Linked DNA regions of Lepisosteus oculatus. The protein of the gene in region 2 interacts with the protein of the main gene of each other region in a biochemical or structural test. Links are inferred from orthologs where the notes say so. Each region holds a gene or a part of one and is shown on either strand. Other genes may lie near its edges.

Region 1 (11,382 bases), on a different chromosome or scaffold from region 2:
TCTCTGCTTAGATATGTCAAAGTCCTTGTGAAGAATGAGCAATGGTCCTATCCTTTATTGGAGCACTGTAGACTCAGCCAAACACCTGGTCCTTCACACACAGGAAAGCCCAATGTGCACTCTGACTTCTGATACAGGGAGTCATACAAAGCTCCAGCAGTTCAGTTATGCTTCCTTGATGACAGAGCCATAGACACATAGTCACTACAAACAACATAAGAATGCAGTGGTTGCACGCTCAGGCCAGGAGCTCTTAAGTTGGGAAAGCTGCCCTGCTTGTGACCCGTCCTGTCACGCCCTGTACTCCTAGAGGGTGCCCTACTTCTGTCCTGTTCCTAGTTCCCTGTGATTATTCATGTCTTTCTGGTGTGTCTTGTTGTGTAGCCTATTTACTCCCTGGGTCTGCTCCGCTCCTGGCTCAGAATTGAGGGTACGGATGTCCTGAGACCCGCCTAGCACCAGGTCGCTCCTGTACGTGGCCTGAGGGCATAGGTTTCTATTCCGACATTGTCTGACCCCCTTGAGCCTGGGCTAATCTCTGTGTTGTCCCCTTTTTACCGCTAATCATAGGGTCTTTATTGCTCTCCTGGCCATTCCACGGCATGCCCTTTCCCGACATCCATAACACCTACAGAACCGCTACACCCACCCTTTGTGACTGTACCTCCAGCCCCTAGCTGTTGTCAGAACACAGCCCTGATGTCATCTTTTGCGGTCCCCAGCGTGGATTCTAAAAGGGGGTACTCCTTTATGAGCAGGAGAGTTTCAGGGTAACTGGTGTCACCACCGATGTCTCAGACTCGGGCTGTAGTTTTCATGTCTCTCCTTCTCACTGCAATTCACCCTGCGGCCAGGGGGAGGTGCTGCCTGCCAACATACTCTGAGAAACCATCAGCCCTTATTCTCATCATCATCATATCAATCTGTCAGTTCCTGCAGAACCTGCTGTTCACCCAGAGAGCCCTGGTGAACCAGATCAGCTCTCGGAGAGCAGGGTGTCCTGGTGACGTCACCTGTGGAGTGGAGGGGATATCAAAGACACCAGGGCTGGACAGAGGTAGGACACCTATAGGGTTTAGTGGGGGGAAGGGGTGAAGAGGGATATCAGAGCCTTATTTATCAAACTCAGGGAAGCCTGCAAAATTACAGCTCATGCCATGGACTGGACCAAACTTCCAGTCCTCATAAAGATACGTCACTAGCTTGGGTCTGGAGAACCGATCTGCAGTACAAAGATTAAAAGCAATCAATGGTTTGGCACTGACGACTACAATCAATTTAAATAATCCGCTTTTCACTGTGGCTCTGTATCTTACACACCTGGCTCGAGTCCAGCTGCATACCTGTGGGCTGGAAAGATGATCGGTCCAGACCACGGGTGATCCCGACAGGTGCAATAAGAAATGAACACCCTTGAGGGAAGACAGGCTGCCCCCCCATTGCATGCTTTTCATCGTGTTGTTTTTAGTTACAAGCGTCAGTAAGTGTTTCTAATAATTATCCAGGAGAACATCAGAGAGCAAGCGTGGCACAGCAGCACAGCGGTTTGCGTTATTGTCTTGTAGCGCTGGGGCCCTGGGTTCAATTCCAGACCCGGGGTGCTGTCTGTGTGGAGTTTGTGCTTTCTGTGTTCGTGTGGGTTTTGCTCTGGATGCTTTGGATCCTCCCACAGGCCAAAGATATGCTGGTGTAACCCACTTAACCAATTGGATTCTGGGAAAATTGGCCTTGGTGTGAGTGTGCATATCTGCCCTGTGATCTTGTCTTGCGCCCGTTGCTGGCCAGGAAAGGCTCTGGCTCTCCTGTGAGCCCAAGTTGGAAGATGGATGGAATTCACTTGAATACTACTGGAAAAAACAAAATAAAAACGATAAAAAGCACAAATAAATGGGTGTCTGTATGTCGTAACTAAGTGGTTAAGATCTGCAATACTAACTGTCTAATCCTACCTATAAAATACTGAATTATCCCATTCATCTTCAATTGCAGCTCTGCATTTGGCTCGCCACCCGTTTTTTCTGCACCCCTGCTGTCTCCCAACGCCCCTCCCCTTCCCACATTCCCCTCTCCCGGGTGGGCGTGTCTCCTATATCTCGGCCCCGCCCCCTCCGGGACTGAACCTATCAGACGTCCCCCACCTGCCCCCCCTCAACCCCAGCCTGCACTTCTGCCCGCCCTTTCCGGGCGCGCCGATCCCCTGGCCAGCCAGCAGGAGCAGGATGGAGCAGGAGGAAGAGGAGAGGGCCGGCGGGGTCCCGGTGAAGAAGGAGAGCCGGAAGGGGAGTGACCAGACCAGGATGGGGCAGTGGAAGACCGGCTTCCCTGTTGCAGTTTGATTTACAGACAATATTCCTTCTGTCTTTAACACGCGATTGATTTGAACGCTTGTCCCTGCCAAATTCAAATCCCTCCTCCATCCGAGACTGTGGAAGTGCTCCACTTATCCTTCTCTCATTTCACCATTCAAATTGGTAGAAATCAGACTCCCACCTGGAGTCGTTACTCCTGACCTGTCCTGAGCACGTTTTAGACAGACGCCTGCTGTGGTACAGTGTACATGTCACGATCGTAAACCCCTCCTCTTAAGGACGCTCCAGCCCTTCCTTGTTTTCCACTCATCTCCTGCACCTGCTCCCTGTTCCAGCCCCCTTTAAAAGCCAGGCGCTCACTCTGTTCCGGGCTCTGCATTGGGTTCCGTACCAGGCGAGTCCAGGACCTGGAAGCGCCTGGTCCCGTTAAGGTTTTAGTTCCTGTTCCTGTTCCCGTTCCCGTTCCCATGCCGGTCCTGACCCGGTTCTTGTTTTATCTCGTCGGGCTTTGGACTTTTGCCCTGACTTGGATTCCCCTTTTGGACTCAGCTCTGGATTGTTTGCCTCGGCCACACCTCCCCCGAACACAAGCGCACCATGGAAACGCCCCCCGTTTTCATTCCCGATTCCCGCATGCTTTTTTTCCCCTGTGTTTTTTCTCACTCATCCCCGGATTGTGTCGTCTGCATAGGGTCCAGAAAGAACGCTTTTGTTACATTACGAGACCTCACGAGTAACTGAAAGGCCGGGATAATGTTATCAGGAATAGACACTGGACCATAAAAGGAATGGTCACTCATAAACCCCTCTACATGGACTATTAAACCCTCTGGATCACTCCTGGAATTCAGGACACGGTGGAGGAAATCAGTTCCCCCACCAGCACTCGGTGACTTAAAGACCAGAGCAGAACAGCAAGGAGAAAAATTACTAGCTGAGGAACAACGTGTTTTATACTTTGTTCTCTGCGGTTTTTACAGTGAGTCTGTTATGAGGTGACATCGCTCACGTACCATAGGTAACCTGACTTTGGCAGATCCCTTGTTAAAAGAAACAATATGTGCTGTGACCATTTACATGACCGTCGCGGTTCCGCGTGGGCTTCTGCCCTCCGCCACCCGTTTCGTCCCACCACACCTGGGGTGCGAACCTGGGTCTCCGGCGTAATGCAACAGGGCACCAGCCACGTGAGCTAAAGGAGACCTCCCCCAGCCCAGGCGGCTGAGGTCCCTGCGCTGCGCGAGGGAAGGCGATGACGTCACAGTGCCCGAACGCGCTCCGCTACAGTATGAAGCTCAAAATACCCCTTGTGTGCGTTTGCTTCCGGTGTTCTTGAAAAACAGCTTCTTTTTTGGTCACAAATAAACTCATCTCCAACCTTCTGCGGACTGCACTTTGACTCCCTGCATCCCGACAAATAAAAAAGCAGACATCCTCAGCTCCCATTTCCAGAAGAGAGACCCAGATCTGGACAAGGAAGAAGACAGCTCATTGAGGAAAAAAAAGCAAAGGCTTATTGGAAATTAAGATGCCTCACTTGTGGCCGAATCAAACCCATTTATCTTTAAGAAAAGAAACAATAGTCTGTAGACACAGTTATAGCAGGGCTGCTCAACCCCTGGCCCTCCAGTTGACTCCATTGCAGGACTTAGATCCTCAGCAGCTACAGTGTGTCGATCCTGCTAAAACAGGGTTTTTGATGAACGTTTGGGGAGGATGACAGCAACTAAGCACCCATCTATCTGCCTCCTGCCTCCACCTGCGCAGCCCCCTCTCGGTCTTCTCCCCGCCCTGCTGACTTCCTCTCTCCTCAGCCCAGGTGTCGAACCCCCCAGCCAAGCAGAATGAGCCAACGCGTCTTGCGTCCAACCCCCTGACCGCTATTCCGAAACAGATGCTCTTGCTGGATGTCGGGGGAGGGATCTGGACTTTGTGAGCTGCTGGAAGCATCTGCAGTACCACGTAGATGCTCAAAACTGAGATCCCCCCAAACAACTTCAATACAAAGTTATTAGTTGTTAAGTAGCAGGATCACTATAGCATCAGGAAAGCTGGTAGCATTATAGCACTGCAGTGAATGAGATTGGAGGGGTCAAAGGTTGAATGTTCTGGATCTACTCCGTGTGTCTCCATTCTAATTCTGTATGTTATTTCACTACAATTAAAATATATATAACTTTGTGCCATTTTCATTTCATCATGTTGTGGTTCACGCTTTTATTTGCAGAGTTTCTGGTTCGCATTTGTGTTTCTCTGTTCTTTGTTTGCTTCTTTGTTGAAACAAAAATCTGGATTCAATCAAAGCTCCGATCGAGTCACCCTCTGCAGATCTGTTTTGAATCAATGAAAGCAGAAGTGGTCGGAGTAAGTGATCAGTAAATCATGAAGTGATCAGAACCTCAGATCTCCAGGTGTCAGTGTGAACAGAGGAGGAGTTCAGGCTGTGGAGATCAGTAGGTGATCAGTAGATCAATAGGTGTTCAGAACCTCAGATCTCCAGGTGTCAGTGTGAACAGAGGAGGAGTTCAGACAGTGGAGATCAGTAGGAAATCAGTAGATCAGGAGGTGATCAGAACCTCAGACCTCCAGGTGTCAGTGTGAACAGAAGTGTGTAGGAGGTAATCAGTACACTGTAGACCTCCAGGTGTCAGTGCGAAAAGGGGAGTGGAGGAGGTGATCAGTAGACTGTAGATCTCCAGGTGTCAGTGCGAGCAGAGGAGGAGTTCAGACAGTGGAGATCAGTAGGCTGATCAGCAGGTGATCAGTCGATCAGGAGGTGTTCAGAACCTCAGATCTCCAGGTGTCAGTGTGAACAGGAGTGTGGAGGAGGTGATCAGTAGACTGTAGATCTCCAAGTGTCAGTGCGAAAAGGGGAGTGGAGGAGTTGATCAGTAGATCACGAGGTGATCAGAACCTCAGATATCCAGGTGTCAGTGTGGACAGGTTGGTGTAGCAATGGGGATCATTAGACTCTAGATCTACAAGTGAGCTGCAGGTCACCACTAACAGGCTTGTCAGAAGAAATTCAGTGGGTGAGTAAACCAGCCCTCTAGTGCCAAAAGACATTTTGTCTTGTGAATGCAAGGAAATGGTTCACTTTATTTGGATTATAATTCTTTATGTGTTTTTTTTCCAAAGTAGGTGTGTGTTTGGCATAGGCTTCATGTCACACAAACAATCCAAATGACACAAACAATTCCTGTAAATTCTGTAAATGTCTGTGCACCAATAGTAATGTGCAAACATCATAAAATATGATAGAGAGAATTGCTACCTAGGCTGTTAAAGACTGTTGTAGCTGTTTTAGGAGTCAGGATACCATAAGGTATTTTGTCAAGAAATGGGGACTTAGACATATCCTGTCCTTATGGCAATGTGACTCTTTATTTTCACATTCAATATTATTATATTATTATGCTGCTGTAATTTCAACTAATGGGGATTCTGACAAAAGAAAACAGATACAAATGATCATGCTCTCTTTTTACTCCCATTTATAGATGCTGTTCAGAATGAAATCATATTTCATATTTCGTAATATATTCTTAAAGTCTTAGTTAAAGTCATCATAACTGGCCACTTTCAGTAGGCTGAACTGACTGGCTTACTTCAATAATTGAATTTATCGTCGTCTAGACTGATTTGTACAGAGAATTTTTTTTTCTAAGTTTATATGAGTTTGATTTACTTTTGCCCATCGACTTAACATCATATACCCCTCTCCATGTATAAGATGTTCAATAAAGTCAAGCTGAAATAATCCACAGTTCTGAGTTTGGCCGTTTTTCTTTAAGCAGTAAAAGCCCTGGGGCAATGAGAAGAGAATTCTGCGACGACCGCACCGTGACGGCGATACACAAACCTCTGCCCCCCACCAAGATGGCGACGTCGTGCGGCGTTTCCGGGTGTTTCTGTTCAATCTGTGTCAAAGAGCGGGATGTCTATGGTTCTCGTCTGCAGGGCGGGTTTTCCCGGCAGCTGCTGGGCGACGTCACTTTGGCGCTTCAGTTTAGAGTCGGAGCGCGCGGAAAGAAAGCGGTCGGGAAGGTGGTAGTACTTTGGATTAATTAAACAAACACACAAAAAGAGAAAAACACGTTATCTTCGATTTGATTTGCTGTTTGGCATTCTGGACCCGGGCCTTGAAGACATCCGGAGCTGACGATGCAGAGGAGTATAGCGTGAGTTTCATCACTGGCGATTTGCTGGGTGTTTGTGCATGCAGAGAGAGACTTTGCAGCAGCCTGGGCTGAGAGGGCATCGGGCATTGATGTGCACGTATCTGTATGTGCCGTCGTGTTCAACGGCTCTGCTGGCGTGCCTTGAAATGGTTTATTTTTTTCCGGTTGTGTTAACGATAGCACGCGTCGTTTTAACCGGGTTGCAAAAGAAATATGTGGTTTAAAAATAAAAAAAAACCAAGGAATCGTACTCAGCGATTGTGTCCTAGACGCAGGTCTTTTCACAGGTTTGGGGTCTCTTCTACAATCGCCGATTGCATTCGGGATGAGCTGGAGTCTCACGGCCCGGCCTGCTGTAGGCTGTTTATTTGGCTGCTGTACTGTACTGTACTGTAGGGGAGGCTGGAGCCGGAAGTGTGCGTGTCCAGAGCCCCGCTTGGCAACCTGTTGACCGGTCAGTGCGACCTGCGGCTCTGACTTGAGACGAGAAACAATTTGTGCCGCCGCGTTTTATGCTCCGTGCGATTTAAAGTTCAGGACTGACCGCCTTTTTCACTGCTGCAGCGTTGAGCTGCGTCCAGGCGCGTAGCTGCTGCGCGGTGATGCCGGTGCATTATTTATTTGCCAGCAGCCATGTCCCCCTGCAGCTCAGCACTGGCAGCCCCACTGGAGCTCAGCAGTGTGAGCCTGACCAGTACCCTGGAGGGGAGACTCCTGGGAGAGCTGAGGCTGCTGCTGGAAGAGGTGTTAGTGGGGCCAGTAGGGGGCGCTCACCCTGCGGTCTGTGTGGGTCCTAATGCCCCAGTATAGTGACAGGGACACTAGACTGTAAACAGGCGCCGTCCTTCGGATGAGACGTAAAACCGAGGTTATGACTCTGTGGTCATTAAAAATCCCAGGGTGTCTCTCGAAAAGAGTAGGGGTGTCACCCCGGTGTCCTGGCCAAATTTCCCCCTGGTCTTTACCCATCATGGCCTCCTAATAACCCCCCTCTCTGAACTGGCTCCATCACTCTGCTCTCCTCCCCACTGAGAGCTGCTGTGTGTGAGCAGACTGGAGCTTCACCCAGGTGGGGGGACACACTGGTGGGGGTGGAGGGGATCCCCATGACCTGTAAAGAGCGATGTTATTTATAAATTGCGGGTTTTGGAAAAGCAAAGGTGTTGGGTAAAGAAATGTTGTTGAATCGTCTTTACCGAATGAAAATAAAATCAGATCTCTGGCTTATTAAAACCCATGATTTTAAAGGCGCTTCCGCCTGTAGTTATTGTCCGTGGCCCACACGGTTCGTGTCGACCTTGGTCGCTGTGCGTGTGTGTGAAATGAAGTCCGCGCTCTCTGTCGCAGCTCGTTCTTCCGGCCCGCGGCGGCTGGCGACGGGAAGACCAAGGGGAGCGCGAGGACCGCGGAGAAGACGGAGTGAGTAAAAGACTTTTACTGCCTTTTTACCCTGATCTCACTGGGCTGTGCTGCACTGTGTTTGTACCCCGATCTCACTGGGCTTTTACTGTGCTGTACTGTGTTTTTACCCCGATCTCACTGGGCTGTACTGTGTTTTTACCCCGATCTTACTCGGCTGTACTGCTCTGGACTGTGTTTTTACCCCAGTCTCACTGGGCTTTAATGCACTGGACTGTGTTTTTACCCCAGTCTCACTGGGCTTTAATGCACTCGACTGTGTTTTTACCCCAGTCTCACTGGGCTTTAATGCACTCGACTGTGTTTTTACCCCAGTCTCACTGGGCTTTAATGCACTCGACTGTGTTTTTACCCCGATCTCACTGGGCTTTTACTGTGCTGTACTGTGTTTTTACCCCGATCTCACTGGGCTTTTACTGCGCTGTACTGTGTTTTTACCCTGATCTCACAGGGCTTTACTGTACTGTACTGTGTTTTTACCCCAATCTCACTGGGCTGGACTGCGCTGGACTGTGTTTTTACCCCAATCTCACTGGGCTTTTACTGTGCTCTACTGTGTTTTTACCCCGATCTCACTGGGTTGTACAGTAACTTTGCTCATCATTAAGGAGATCATCACCCCCGGGTTATGATGGGGTGCCCAGCTCCCCAAGCCCCAGATCCTCAGCTCAACCTCTCCCTCTGTCTCCCAGGCCCGCCAAGTCCCCCCTGAAACCGCAGAACGGCACCCCGGAGCCTGACTCCCCCATAAAGAAGACGGCCAAGAGAACCCGACGCATCGCGGACAGCGACGATGACGAGCCGCGTGGCGGGGAGACCCAGGGGGCCACTCCTGCACCCCAGGCTGCTGCGGAGCAGGTGAGCGCCCCGCTTTTCTCTCATGCCTGGGGGGCCGTGAGTTCAAATCCAGCTGGGGGGCACAGCTGCTGCCCCCTTAAGTGAGGTTGCGCCTGCAGTCCCAGCTGTGAGAGTGTCGGGAACAGACACTGCAGGAGACTGACAGGCGCTCTGGATAGCGGAATAATACAAGAATCGAGTCCCCAGGCAGTTAGCAACATGACCTCTTGGGATGACACTGTTTCCCATTCAACCTGAGCTATCCCTTAACTGAAGGGTCTAATTGATCACTTCCTCGGTCAGTCAGACCACGCGGTCATCTGCTTCATGTTCATTGAATAAAACCATCCAGTGAAACCTGCAGCGTGTGTGAGGTTGAGTCGTCAGCACCAGGTGGCTGCTCTTAGAGCAGGGGCAGCTGTGTTTTATCAGTAGAGCGAGGCCGTGTCTTGCATATTTGTTCGAATTTCAATCTGACGGTAGCCAGAACGGCGTACATTCATGTTGTGAAGTGCCCATTTGTTGCTTGCTTTTATATTTGTTAAGAGACGTCCTTATAGCACAGTGTGTATACATATACATTCCCAATGTAATGTTATAGATATATGTACATTGTAGCACGTCTGTTAGTTAATTGATTGGTGTAACTGACCAGTTAATTGGTTTAATTGGCCTTTTTTTATTTACTGTAAAATGTAAACATTCTTAGAACACTTTCTCCAGCCCCCCTTTGATTGTATTGTAACGGTAAAATTGTCATCATATTTTTAGGGGAGCAATATTTTTAGGGTCTTTTATTCTGGGTTTTCTCCCCTCCAGGTCACCCCTGTATCTGCCCCTCCCCAGCCCAGGACGGATTCTGCCCCGGACGTCAGCTCCCCCTCCGGCAGCGAGGGCTCCCCCGGCAGCGAGGGTGCCGTCATCTCCCCCTCCGGCATCCCCAAGCGGCGCACCGGTACGCCCCGCCCCCATGGGGCGGCGCTGGGTCAACCCTTCGGCGTGGTTCCCATAGATAGTTTGGCAGACTCATAATACTTGTTAACCCTGCATGCCGATCACATTGGAAACTATCTGCAGTGAAATGTCTGTTGCACAACCTGCACTTCTCCACTCATTCATGAGAGTACATAGTCATTGCAGGGACTAGTGAGCAGGAAGGGCTGCAATCAAGTTACAGTTGGCCGGAGCTCGAATGCCAGTTTGCGACCACATGGCGATTTATAGTACTTTCACAAAGTTCACAATTTAGCAATGCCATCGATGAATTTATTTTGTGATTGAGACTTAATAACCCGTCTGAGAAATTAATTAATTTAATTGATTAAGGGGGGCACAGCTTAAATCTGGGGATTTAAACCAGGATCCTCCTGGTTGTTTGCTGAAATACTTGAAGATCTACTTGTCTGTGTCTGTGTTGCTGTTCTGCGTGTTTTTCCATGTCGATGATGATGAACGGGAACTTGACTCCTTCTGCAGCCCGGAAACAGTTCCCCAAAAGGAAACTGGAGATCACAGAGGAGAGACGGGCGTCGCCCCCAGAAGACGCCGGGCCGTTGGAGAGCCAGCCCAAGAGAGCACGACTGGAGGATCGGGAGACGCCAGGTAAGAGTCTGAAAGGATTTGCTTTTGGAAAATGAGACTGAGAAATTAGGGAAAACGTGTCAAGAAAAACTGCTGGTCAGTACAGGTCCCAGGACACTGTCAGTAAGAGTAGGGGTGTCCTGACTGCTGGTCAGTACAGATCCCAGGACACTGTCAGTAAGAGTAGAGGTGTCCTGACTGCTGGTCAGTACAGATCCCAGGACACTGTCAGTAAGAGTAGGGGTGTCCTGACTGCTGGTCAGTACAGATCCCAGGACACTGTCAGTAAGAGTAGGGGTGTCCTGACTGCTGGACAGTACAGGTCCCAGGACACTGTCAGTAATAGTAGAGGTGTCCTGACTGCTGGTCAGTACAGATCCCAGGACACTGTCAGTAAGAGCAGGGGTGTCCTGACTGCTGGTCAGTACAGATCCCAGGACACTGTCAGTAAGAGTAGGGGTGTCCTGACTGCTGGTCAGTACAGATCCCAGGACACTGTCAGTAAGAGTAGGGCTGTCCTGACTGCTGGACTGTACAGATCCCAGGACACTGTCAGTAAGAGGAGAGATATTAACTCCACTCTTGTGATTAATCTCTACTCTGGGTTACACTTTCCTGATATTCGGGGGTGGGTACTCTTCTTCGCTTCTTTTTGCTTCTGGCTGTTCACATTTATGCGTGTGTGTCCCCGAAGCAGAGAAGGTGAATGGAGAAGCCATGGAAGTCGACTCCGGGGGCGTCCCCTCGGAGAAGCAGGGAAGCTCGCCCGTCGGGGGACAGCCAGCCGGAGCGGCCGAAAGCGACCCCTCGCCCGGGGCGGAGGAGGGGACGGGAGACATCGCCGAGATGAAGGTCGAGCCGGGGCCGGGCGAGGCGAGAGAATCGGAGCCCTCCGAGGACGCTGGGAAAAAGAGGCTGGACGCCACGTCCAAGCCAGCTGCGCCGAAGGCAGGGGCCGCCTCCCCTCTCCAGAAGCCCGACGACGCCAACGCCAAGACCAAGACCAAGACGTCGGCCAGACCGGCTGCGAGCAGGGTGAAGTCCCCCCAGGCGGA
Region 2 (11,518 bases):
CCGCCGCACACACGGGGTTCGCAAGGCGCGCGCGAGCCGGCCCTCGCCACCCCCCCGATCTGCGCTCGTTACCTTGCTGTCGGAGTCGACCGGCTCGTCCATGGAGAAGCTGTCGTAGAAGAGCCGGAACTCCTCCCCTCCCTCCGTCTCCCACTCCTCCAGCCAATCCCCTCGGTCCTCCTCGCCCGGCCCCGCCCCCTCGGCCACCGGGGACCCGCCCACTTTCTGCACAGAGAGAGAGGAGAGAGAGAGGAGAGAGGGGAGAGAGAGAGTTTGTGCCAAAACCACAACAGGTCCCAATCCTACTGGGAGAGGGAGGAGGGAACTCAGTTGAACTGGCAGCCCAGTGTGTGATCTCCTGTCACAGCCTGAGGAACAGTGAGTCCGTCTCCCAATAATGCTCCAGCTGCCTACAGTATGTCAATATTATATAATATGTCTTTGTTGTAAATGTCTGTAACATGTCTGTAGATTTTATTTTACTTCTATTTTTGTTTTGTTCTATGTTAATTTTATTATTTTTATTTGCTTTGGCAACACTGATTGTACCCATCGGTCATGCTAATAAAGCACCTTGGACTGAATTGAGAGAGGGGAGAGAGGGGAGAGAGAGAGATGAGGTAGAGGAGAGAGAGAGAGGAGGGAGAGATAGGGGAGAGGGGAGAGAGAGACAGGAGACAGGAGAGAGGGGAGAGAGAGAGGGGAGAGAGAGAGATGAGGTAGAGGAGAGAGAAAGGAGAGAGAGATAGGGGAGAGGGGAGAGAGAGAGGGGAGAGAGAGAGACAGGAGAGAGGGGAGAGAGAGAGATAAGGTAGAGGAGAGAGGAGGGGAGAGAGAGAGACAGGATAGAGAGAAGGAGAGAGATAAGGTAGAGAAGAGAGAGAGAGAAGAGAGACAGGAGAGAGGGGAGAGAGAGACAGGATAGAGAGAAGGAGAGAGATGAGGTAGAGGAGAGAGAGAGAAAAGAGAGAAGAGAGACAGGAGAGAGGGGAGAGAGAGACAGGATAGAGAGAAGGAGAGAGATGAGGTAGAGGAGAGAGAGAGAGAGAAGAGAGACAGGAGAGAGGGGAGGAGAGAGAGATAAGGCAGAGGAGAGAGAGAGACAGGAGAGGTAAGACAGACAATATGACGGAGAGACACACAGGGTTCGAGGCTCTCCGTCAGCGTGACCCCACCCACCTCCTCCTCCTCGCTGCTCTTCTCCAGCTGCCCTGCAGGGGGCGACGAGACATCCAGCCTCCTCCTCTTCACTCCTCCTGAGAGACAGAGCGGGAGTCAATCGGGGAGAGAGGAGAGAGAGAGGAGAGGGGAGAGGGGAGAGAGAGGAGTGAGGGGGGAGAGAGAGGGGAGAGGATGGAGACAGGAGAGACCGGCTGACCTGTGTCGCCCTCTAGTGGCGAGCTGGTGGAAGGCTCAGGGGCGTCCACTGCAGGCTCAGGAGGATCAACACTCTTCATCTGCGCAGGGAGACAGAGAGACAGTGAGACACAGGGCAGAGAGAGACAGGCAGAGAGGCAGGCAGGCAGAGAGGCAGACAGGCAGGCAGTCAGAGAGACAGGCAGGCAAACAAGCAGGCAGTCAGAGAGACAGGCAGGCAGGCAGTCAGAGAGACAGGCAGGCAGGCAGAGAGACAGACAGGCAGGCAGGAAGTCAGAGAGACAGGCAGGCAGGCAGTCAGAGAGACAGGCAGGCAAACAAGCAGGCAGTCAAAGAGACAGGCAGGCATTCAGAGAGACAGGCATAGAGACAGGCAGGCAGACAGACAGGCAGGCAGTCAGAGAGACAGAGAGACAGGCAGGCAGACGGACAGACAGGCAGGCAGACAGTCAGAGAGTCAGAGAGACAGGCAGACAGGCAGGCAGACGGACAGACAGGCAGGCAGGCAGGCAGTCAGAGAAACAGGCAGTCAGAGAGACAGGCAGGCAGGCAGAGAGACAGACAGGCAGGCAGGCAGGCAGACAGTCAGAGAGACAGGCAGACAGGCAGGCAGAGAGACAGACAGGCAGGCAGGCAGGCAGACAGTCAGAGAGACAGACAGACAGGCAGGCAGGCAGACAGTCAGGCAGCCCCAGGTCCCGATGGGCCGCACCTGTCCAGCCGCAGGCCTGTTCATGGTCTTCCTGGCCCGGTGGACTTTGGGGGGGGGTGCCGCGGCGCCGGCGGGGGGGTCGGCGGGGGGGCTCACGGGCGGGGGGGCTTTTCCCTGGCTGGGCATGCTCATCTTCGCCCGACCCGGGGGGGACGAGGAGGAGGAGGAGGAGGAGGAGGAAGAGGAGGAGGAGGAGGAGGAGAGAGTCTTGGCCGCGTGGCCCGCCAGCCCCTTGCCGGCGGGGGGCGCCGTGGAGACCGCCCCCCCCTCCTCCGCCCGCTCCCCTCCCCCCTTGGCCGCCCCCTCCCCCTCCCTCTCGGAATCCTTCGGCGACGACATCATCCCCCCCATGGGCTCCGCCTCCTCGGGAACGGTCGCCGCGGCGCCGGCGTCGTCACCTGGATACCGGAACACGGGCAGGGAGACAGTCTGAGCTATTTTATTATTATTATGTGCTGGACTGGTGTCCAGTGAGGGGCTGGTGTCTGTGGGTGTGTCTCTCTGTGGGTGTGTGTGTGTGTGTCTCTCCCTGTGGGTGTGTCTCTCTGTGACTGTCTGTGGGTGTTTCTCCCTGTGGGTGTGTCTCCCTGTGACTGTCTGTGGGTGTTTCTCCCTGTGGGTGTGTCTCTCTGTGACTGTCTGTGGGTGTGTCTCTCTGTGGGTGGGTGTGTCTCTCTGTGGGTGGGTGTGTCTCTCTGTGGGCTTGCCTGTTCCTGATTGGTCACCAGAGTCCTTCCCGGCAGCAATCTCCGCCTTCTTCTTCTGCTCTGAGAGTCCGCCCTGGTTAGTGTCCTCCTGGTGTGGGGGAAACGAAGGCAGAAGTAATTAGTTCCACTTTGACCGAACGGATGCGTTGCTATGGAGATCGACAGTGCACCCTCGAAAAAATAAGGTGCCGTATCTCAGGCATGAAGGCCACTCAAATGCTACTTGCAACGTCAAAAACCAGCAGAAACGAATGTGCTGGGTTTTAGTGTTTGTGCCAGATTCACGCAGCTTCACTGAGCTCGAAAAGCAGGCATACCATGTCTAAGGACTGACATTCACACCCGGAGGGGGTCGGACTGCTGCGCACTGGGAGTCTGACAGCACTGTCACACCTGGAGCGGATCAGACTGCTGCGCACTGGGAGTCTGACAGCACTGTCACACCTGGAGCGGATCAGACTGCTGCGCACTGGGAGTCTGACAGCACTGTCACACCTGGAGCGGATCAGACTGCTGCGCACTGGGAGTCTGACTGACAGCACTGTCACACCTGGAGCGGATCAGACTGCTGCGCACTGGGAGTCTGACTGACAGCACTGTACCACCTGGAGCGGATCAGACTGCTGCGCACTGGGAGTCTGACTGACAGCACTGTCACACCTGGAGCGGATCAGACTGCTGCGCACTGGGAGTCTGACTGACAGCACTGTCACACCTGGAGCGGATCAGACTGCTGTGCACTGGGAGTCTGACTGACAGCACTGTCACACCTGGAGCGGATCAGACTGCTGCGCACTGGGAGTCTGACTGACAGCACTGTCACACCTGGAGCGGATCAGACTGCTGCGCACTGGGAGTCTGACAGCACTGTCACACCTGGAGCGGATCAGACTGCTGCGCACTGGGAGTCTGACAGCACTGTCACACCTGGAGTGGATCAGACTGCTGCGCACTGGGAGTCTGACTGACAGCACTGTCACACCTGGAGCGGATCAGACTGCTGCGCACTGGGAGTCTGACTGACAGCACTGTACCACTTGGAGCGGATCAGACTGCTGCGCACTGGGAGTCTGACTGACAGCACTGTCACACCTGGAGCGGATCAGACTGCTGCGCACTGGGAGTCTGACTGACAGCACTGTCACACCTGGAGCGGATCAGACTGCTGCGCACTGGGAGTCTGACTGACAGCACTGTCACACCTGGAGCGGATCAGACTGCTGCGCACTGGGAGTCTGACAGCACTGTCACACCTGGAGCGGATCAGACTGCTGCGCACTGGGAGTCTGACTGACAGCACTGTACCACCTGGAGCGGATCAGACTGCTGCACACTGGGAGTCTGACTGACAGCACTGTCACACCTGGAGCGGATCAGACTGCTGCGCACTGGGAGTCTGACTGACAGCACTGTCACACCTGGAGCGGATCAGACTGCTGCGCACTGGGAGTCTGACTGACAGCACTGTCACACCTGGAGCGGATCAGACTGCTGCGCACTGGGAGTCTGACTGACAGCACTGTCACACCTGGAGCGGATCAGACTGCTGCACACTGGGAGTCTGACTGACAGCACTGTCACACCTGGAGCGGATCAGACTGCTGCGCACTGGGAGTCTGACTGACAGCACTGTCACACCTGGAGCAGATCAGACTGCTGTGCACTGGGAGTCTGACTGACAGCACTGTCACACCTGCAGTGGATCAGACTGCTGTGCACTGGGGGTCTGACTGAGAGATCGCTGTAAACGTGCAGTGGATCAGACTGCTGTGCACTGGGGGTCTGACTGAGAGATCGCTGTAAACGTGCAGTGGATCAGACTGCTGTGCACTGGGAGTCTGACTGAGAGATCGCTGTAAACGTGCAGTGGATCAGACTGCTGTGCACTGGGGGTCTGACTGAGAGATCGCTGTAAACGTGCAGTGGATCAGACTGCTGTGCACTGGGGGTCTGACTGAGAGATCGCTGTAAACGTGCAGTGGATCAGACTGCTGTGCACTGGGGGTCTGAGAGATCGCTGTAAACGTGCAGTGGATCAGACTGCTCTCAATCCGGCTGTGTGGCGGAGCACTGAGGAACAAAGAGACGAGAGAATATGGGTCCGGTCTCCCTGGATGAAAACACAACATCCCCTCCACGCACACGCACACAGCCGATCGCCCTCCCCACCACGCCGGGGTCTGCCCAGCAGCGTTAACACACGCAGCAGCGCGTCCAGGCGCGGAGACGGGGCTCGCACCCTGAAAAGACCCGGCTCTGTGCAAGGCGCTGGGCGCCTCTTTGTACCCCAGCCTACAGACAGAAACGAGGCGCCCCTGCAGGCGCTGCGGGAACCCCCCCGCCCCCCAAGCGGCCGTCCCGCTGCACACGGACAACACGGTGCAGGATGGGGGGTGACCACATCAATCCAAACACGCAAGCATCCAAAATCAGGTCTCCTCACCTCACTCGAGAGCTCAGCCGCCGACATATTGGCTCCGACTCCGGGGCGACGGAGAAAGACGTCACTCAGAGCGCGACCCGCCCCCTCGCCGCCGGCGCGCCCCGCCCCCTCGCCATTGTCCTCCGCCGGGGAACAATCCCGGGCGTCTGACGTCACGGGCACGTCGCGCCCGGGCCCCGCCCCCTCCCGTTTGTCTGCTTTCCCGGGCTTCGCTCTTCCGCCCCTCCCCCCTCCGCCGCTGCCAAGCTCACCCTGGTCACATGACCGAGGCCAGGTGCTCTGAAGCCCAAAGGCCGCGTCCATGTTTGTGACGTCAGAAACCAGTCATGCTCCGATCTGATATTTTTTTTTTAGCATTTAAAGGAAGACATACAAGGAAAATATGTAAAAAAAGCTCAATTTTCAGCTTTAATAATTGCGAGTGCGTCTATTTCTGTATATGTTTTAATATTTGGTCTCCTTTTTTTGTATTTCGGAGGTTTAAATTAAAAAAAATCATAAAAAAATAGTTTGATCTGAGATAGATCTGAGATTCTGACGCTTTTAACTGAATTGTACATCAGAACGAACTGCCAGACCCTTAAACAGTGCTGATCCACTGTCTCGTTCCACACTGACTGTTACTACTTTATTCGTCTTTTCTAGTGATCAACTTGACTTATATTATTATTATACTGACACGGGTGCGGAGTGCAGTGAAGAGTTTCTCATGAGTCCGTCAGGCGCTGTCCATACAGAACAGCAGCAGACAGGACGACAGACAGTAAATACAATAGCAATAACAGTGTAAACAACGAGTATGACAGCACCCCCTGTCCGCCACAAACCGTGCACAAGGGCAAATTAATAATAGTGATAATAGGACCTGTCGCGCGGACACTCATAGTAATAGGGGTTATCACTGGGCTCCTCCTGTGTTTGTGTGTGTGTCGATGCTGGGGGGTGCCGAGCTCAACGTGTGTCTGGGGTAACCGCCTCTAATCTGTATCGTCCTCTCGTACCTGTGTGTGTGTGTGTGTGTGTGTATTTCTTTTTATTTTAGAGAAAGAAGACATGTATTTTAAATACAGGAGACGTGACACAATCCTTTTGTCATTTTCCCAGAAACATCCCACATGACAACCGAGTCTCTTCATATCTGCTCCCTTGGACAATACTGGACAATTATTTCACTCCGAACCCAACTAGATGCGTTCAAAATAAGGAAGATACATTCCATTTTTTATGATTTCTGAAGCGGGGGGAAAATGTAGATACTGATTCAGATCTCCATTTGTGTGCGCGCGTGGGTGTGTGTATGTTTCTGTGTGAATGTGTGTGTGAGTGTAATTCTGTCTGAATGAGTGTGTCTCTTCCAGGTGTGTGTCTCTCCAAGGTGTGTGTGTGCCTGTGTGTGTCACTCCAAGGTGTGTGTGTGCCTGTGTGTGTCACTCTCAGGTGCGTGTGTATCTGTGTGTCTCTCCCAGGTGTGTGTGCGCGCACTTCTGTGTGTGTCTGTGTGTCGCTCCCAGGTGTGTGTGTGTGTGTGTCTCGCTGGTCAGGCGTGAGCCCGGTGAGACGTCAGCCCCCCCCCCACGACAGCCCGGGGCCCGGGGGAATGTTTCACACCCCCCCCCGAGACGCGCGACACACAGACAGGGTGGAAACGGAGCTCCTGTCCCTTTAAGGGGGCCGGCAGCCCTGCGCGCGCCGCCGCGGCGAGAATCTCGCTCGAGGACGCGGCTCGGGACGGGAGAGCACGAGGCGAGCACCAGTAAGTGCGGGTGCATGTAGGGGGGTGGGGGTGTCTAATTGCGCGTTATTGTGGGGGCGGAATTGAGCGATCGGGGGGTGAATGAGCCGGCCGGGGCTCGGACCCGCGGCGCAGACACAGCGCAGCCCGGCTGCTGATAGCACAATAACAGCGTCCACCCTCCTCCCTCCCCGCCCACGTCGCCTTGTGATCGCGCACGGCGGCGCGAGTGGGGCAGCTCTTCCCCGTTAACAGCCCCACGCAGCGCGCGCGGGGGGCTGCGGGTCCGGCCCACGGGTGGGCAGCGCGGGTCCGGCCGGTCCGGCCGTGCCCCCCGGCCTCCGAGCTCTGGGGATGAGCTGGTCCCCCCGTCCGGGCTGGCTGTGATCATGATTATCTCCCGCTGTCGATAGAGTATTATTAACTGATGTATCGATACCTCCCTCTCTCTCTCAGTGTAGTGTTCATGTACTGGAGTGTCCAGTCAGTGTGTGTGTGTGAACCCCTCTCTCTCTCAGTGCAGTGTTCATGTACTGGAGTGTCCAGTCAGGGTGTCTGTATGAACCCCTCTCTCTCTCAGTGCAGTGTTCATGTACTGGAGTGTCCAGTCAGTGTGTGTGTATGAACCCCTCTCTCTCTCAGTGCAGTGTTCATGTACTGGAGTGTCCAGTCAGTGTGTGTGTATGAACCCCTCTCTCTCTCAGTGCAGTGTTCATGTACTGGAGTGTCCAGTCAGGGTGTCTGTGTGAACCCCCCTCTCTCTCAGTGCAGTGTTCATGTACTGGAGTGTCCAGTCAGTGTGTCTGTATGAACCCCTCTCTCTCTCAGTGCAGTGTTCATGTACTGGAGTGTCCAGTCAGTGTGTGTGTATGAACCCCCCCCTCTCTCTCAGTGCAGTGTTCATGTACTGGAGTGTCCAGTCAGTGTGTCTGTATGAACCCCTCTCTCTCTCAGTGCAGTGTTCATGTACTGGAGTGTCCAGTCAGTGTGTGTGTATGAACCCCTCTCTCTCTCAGTGCAGTGTTCATGTACTGGAGTGTCCAGTCAGTGTGTCTGTATGAACCCCTCTCTCTCTCAGTGCAGTGTTCATGTACTGGAGTGTCCAGTCAGTGTGTGTGTATGAACCCCTCTCTCTCTCAGTGCAGTGTTCATGTACTGGAGTGTCCAGTCAGTGTGTCTGTATGAACCCCTCTCTCTCAGTGCAGTGTTCATGTACTGGAGTGTCCAGTCAGTGTGTCTGTATGAACCCCTCTCTCTCAGTGCAGTGTTCATGTACTGGAGTGTCCAGTCAGTGTGTGTGTATGAACCCCTCTCTCTCTCAGTGCAGTGTTCATGTACTGGAGTGTCCAGTCAGTGTGTCTGTATGAACCCCTCTCTCTCTCAGTGCAGTGTTCATGTACTGGAGTGTCCAGTCAGTGTGTCTGTGTGAACCCCCCTCTCTCTCAGTGCAGTGTTCATGTACTGGAGTGTCCAGTCAGTGTGTCTGTATGAACCCCTCTCTCTCTCAGTGCAGTGTTCATGTACTGGAGTGTCCAGTCAGTGTGTCTGTATGAACCCCTCTCTCTCTCAGTGCAGTGTTCATGTCCTGGAGTGTCCAGTCAGTGTGTGTGTATGAACCCCTCTCTCTCTCAGTGCAGTGTTCATGTACTGGAGTGTCCAGTCAGTGTGTCTGAATTAACCCCTCTCTCTCTCAGTGCAGTGTTCATGTACTGGAGTGTCCAGTCAGTGTGTGTGTATGAACCCCTCTCTCTCTCTCTCAGTGCAGTGTTCATGTACTGGAGTGTCCAGTCAGTGTGTGTGTATGAACCCCTCTCTCTCTCAGTGCAGTGTTCATGTACTGGAGTGTCCAGTCAGTGTGTCTGTATGAACCCCTCTCTCTCAGTGCAGTGTTCATGTACTGGAGTGTCCAGTCAGTGTGTCTGTATGAACCCCTCTCTCTCAGTGCAGTGTTCATGTACTGGAGTGTCCAGTCAGTGTGTGTGTATGAACCCCTCTCTCTCTCAGTGCAGTGTTCATGTACTGGAGTGTCCAGTCAGTGTGTCTGTATGAACCCCTCTCTCTCTCAGTGCAGTGTTCATGTACTGGAGTGTCCAGTCAGTGTGTCTGTGTGAACCCCCCTCTCTCTCAGTGCAGTGTTCATGTACTGGAGTGTCCAGTCAGTGTGTCTGTATGAACCCCTCTCTCTCTCAGTGCAGTGTTCATGTACTGGAGTGTCCAGTCAGTGTGTCTGTATGAACCCCTCTCTCTCTCAGTGCAGTGTTCATGTCCTGGAGTGTCCAGTCAGTGTGTGTGTATGAACCCCTCTCTCTCTCAGTGCAGTGTTCATGTACTGGAGTGTCCAGTCAGGGTGTGTGTGTATGAACCCCTCTCTCTCTCAGTGCAGTGTTCATGTACTGGAACGGTCCTGTCTCACTGCAGTATTAATTAAATATGAATTAGCAGTAATAATATTAGATGTGATATGAATACTTGATAAGCAGTACCTATGAATTCCTGTACTATAGTGTGCAGTTCGTCAGTAACGGTACAGCTGAAGTGTCGCTCTCGCTCTGAACCAGCGCGCTGCTGCCCCCCGGTGGCGAGATGGAGGTACTGCGGTTCCGCCTGCCGGGCCACGGCGACGCCACGCTGCGCAACCTGAACCAGCTGCGCTCGCGCCAGCGCTTCTGCGACGTCACCATTGTCGCCAACGACAACCAGCAGTTCCGGGGCCACAAGGTGGTGCTGGCGGCCTGCTCCCCTTTCCTGAGGGACCAGTTCCTGCTGAACCCCTCCTCCGAGCTGCAGGTGGGGGGCTCGGACCCGGTACCGCGGCACACGCACGCACAGCATACACATGCACACACACGCACACACATGCATTCAACACACATACACACAGAGAGAGAGAGCCTGGCCATAGAAACTGGACACAGGCAGACCTGGCGGTCCAGAGAGGACAGGCTCAGTGACCACAGCCTGGACACACACACTGGACACAGGCAGACCTGGCTGTCCAGAGAGGACAGGCTCAGTGACCACAGCCTGGACACAGACACTGGACACAGGCAGACCTGGCTGCCCAGAGAGGACGGGCTCAGTGACCACAGCCTGGACACACACACTGGACACAGGCAGACCTGGCTGTCCAGAGAGGACAGGCTCAGTGACCACAGCCTGGACACAGACACTGGACACAGGCAGACCTGGCGGTCCAGAGAGGACAGGCTCAGTGACCACAGCCTGGACACACACACTGGACACAGGCAGACCTGGCTGCCCAGAGAGGACAGGCTCAGTGACCACAGCCTGGACACACACACTGGACACAGGCAGACCTGGCTGCAAGAGAGGACAGGCTCAGTGACCACAGCCTGGCCATAGAAACTGGACACAAACAGACTTGGCTGTCCAGAGAGGACAGGCTCAGTGACCACAGCCTGGACACAGACACTGGACACAGGCAGACCTGGCTGTCTAGAGAGGACAGGCTCAGTGACCACAGCCTGGCCATAGAAACTGGACACAGGCAGACCTGGCTGTCCAGAGAGGACAGGCTCAGTGACCACAGCCTGGACACAGACACTGGACACAGGCAGACCTGACTGTCCAGAGAGGACAGGCTCAGTGACCATAGCCTGAGGAAAAGACAGTGAGCCTGTCTCTCAATAATAATAATACAGTGTGTGATCTCCTGTCCCAGCCTGAGGAACAGTGAGCCTGTCTCTCAATAATAATAATACAGTGTGTGATCTCCTGTCCCAGCCTGAGGAACAGACAGTGAGCCTGTCTCTCAATAATAATACAGTGTGTGATCTCCTGTCCCAGCCTGAGGAACAGACAGTGAGCCCGTCTCTCAATAATAATAATACAGTGTGTGATCTCCTGTCCCAGCCTGAGGAACAGACAGTGAGCCTGTCTCTCAATAATAATAATACAGTGTGTGATTTCCTGTCCCAGCCTGAGGAACAGACAGTGAGCCTGTCTCTCAATAATAATAATACAGTGTGTGACCTCCTGTCCCAGCCTGAGGAACAGACAGTGAGCCTGTCTCTCAATAATAATAATACAGTGTGTGATCTCCTGTCCCAGCCTGAGGAACAGACAGTGAGCCTGTCTCTCAATAATAATAATACAGTGTGTGATCTCCTGTCCCAGCCTGAGGAACAGTGAGTCTGTCTCTCAGTAATCTCAGGATCTTTTTTCCTGTATTGTAAAAGTCTGTAGATTTGATGTTAACTGTAGTTGTTTTGCTTTGGCAACACCGATTGTACTCATCGGTCATGTTGAGCTGGATTGAGAGCAGTCTCCCTGAACGAACCCCTCTCACTGTCTCTCTCTCGCTGGGCAGGTGTCGGGGCTCCACAGCTCTGGTATCGTCTGCGAGCTGCTGCAGTCCTGCTACACTGGGGTGCTCCAGTTCACGGTCAGGGAGATCGTGGACTACCTGACCGCGGCCAGCTACCTGCAGATGGAGCACGTGGTGGAGAAGTGTAGGGGCGCCCTGAGCCAGTTCATCGAACCCCAGATCGCCACCGCTGTGAGTCTGGTCTCCCCCTCTCTCTCAG

What was found.
Region 1: of the proteins of ehmt2 (region 2) and lig1, one has a biochemical effect on the other in vitro, tested with the Homo sapiens proteins (3 studies listed by BioGRID). The link is inferred for Lepisosteus oculatus from reciprocal best matches to the Homo sapiens genes EHMT2 and LIG1.

Annotation. Positions count from the first base shown.
Region 1 is NC_090699.1:6,243,586-6,254,967, reverse strand, and holds the start of lig1 (DNA ligase 1), read left to right. Parts: upstream 1-6,286; 5' UTR 6,287-6,473; coding exon 6,474-6,490; intron 6,491-7,837; coding exon 7,838-7,909; intron 7,910-8,601; coding exon 8,602-8,767; intron 8,768-9,565; coding exon 9,566-9,701; intron 9,702-10,222; coding exon 10,223-10,348; intron 10,349-11,021; coding exon 11,022-11,382. Other genes in the region: ETS domain-containing transcription factor ERF-like, read left to right, coding at 931-1,057, 2,128-2,336.
Region 2 is NC_090709.1:39,385,447-39,396,964, forward strand, and holds the start of ehmt2 (histone-lysine N-methyltransferase EHMT2), read right to left. Parts: upstream 5,485-11,518; 5' UTR 5,267-5,484; coding exon 5,240-5,266; intron 2,885-5,239; coding exon 2,797-2,884; intron 2,488-2,796; coding exon 2,090-2,487; intron 1,458-2,089; coding exon 1,379-1,457; intron 1,257-1,378; coding exon 1,180-1,256; intron 226-1,179; coding exon 73-225; intron 1-72. Other genes in the region: zinc finger and BTB domain-containing protein 12-like, read left to right, coding at 9,555-9,758, 11,302-11,490. UniProt on the Homo sapiens protein: Histone methyltransferase that specifically mono- and dimethylates 'Lys-9' of histone H3 (H3K9me1 and H3K9me2, respectively) in euchromatin.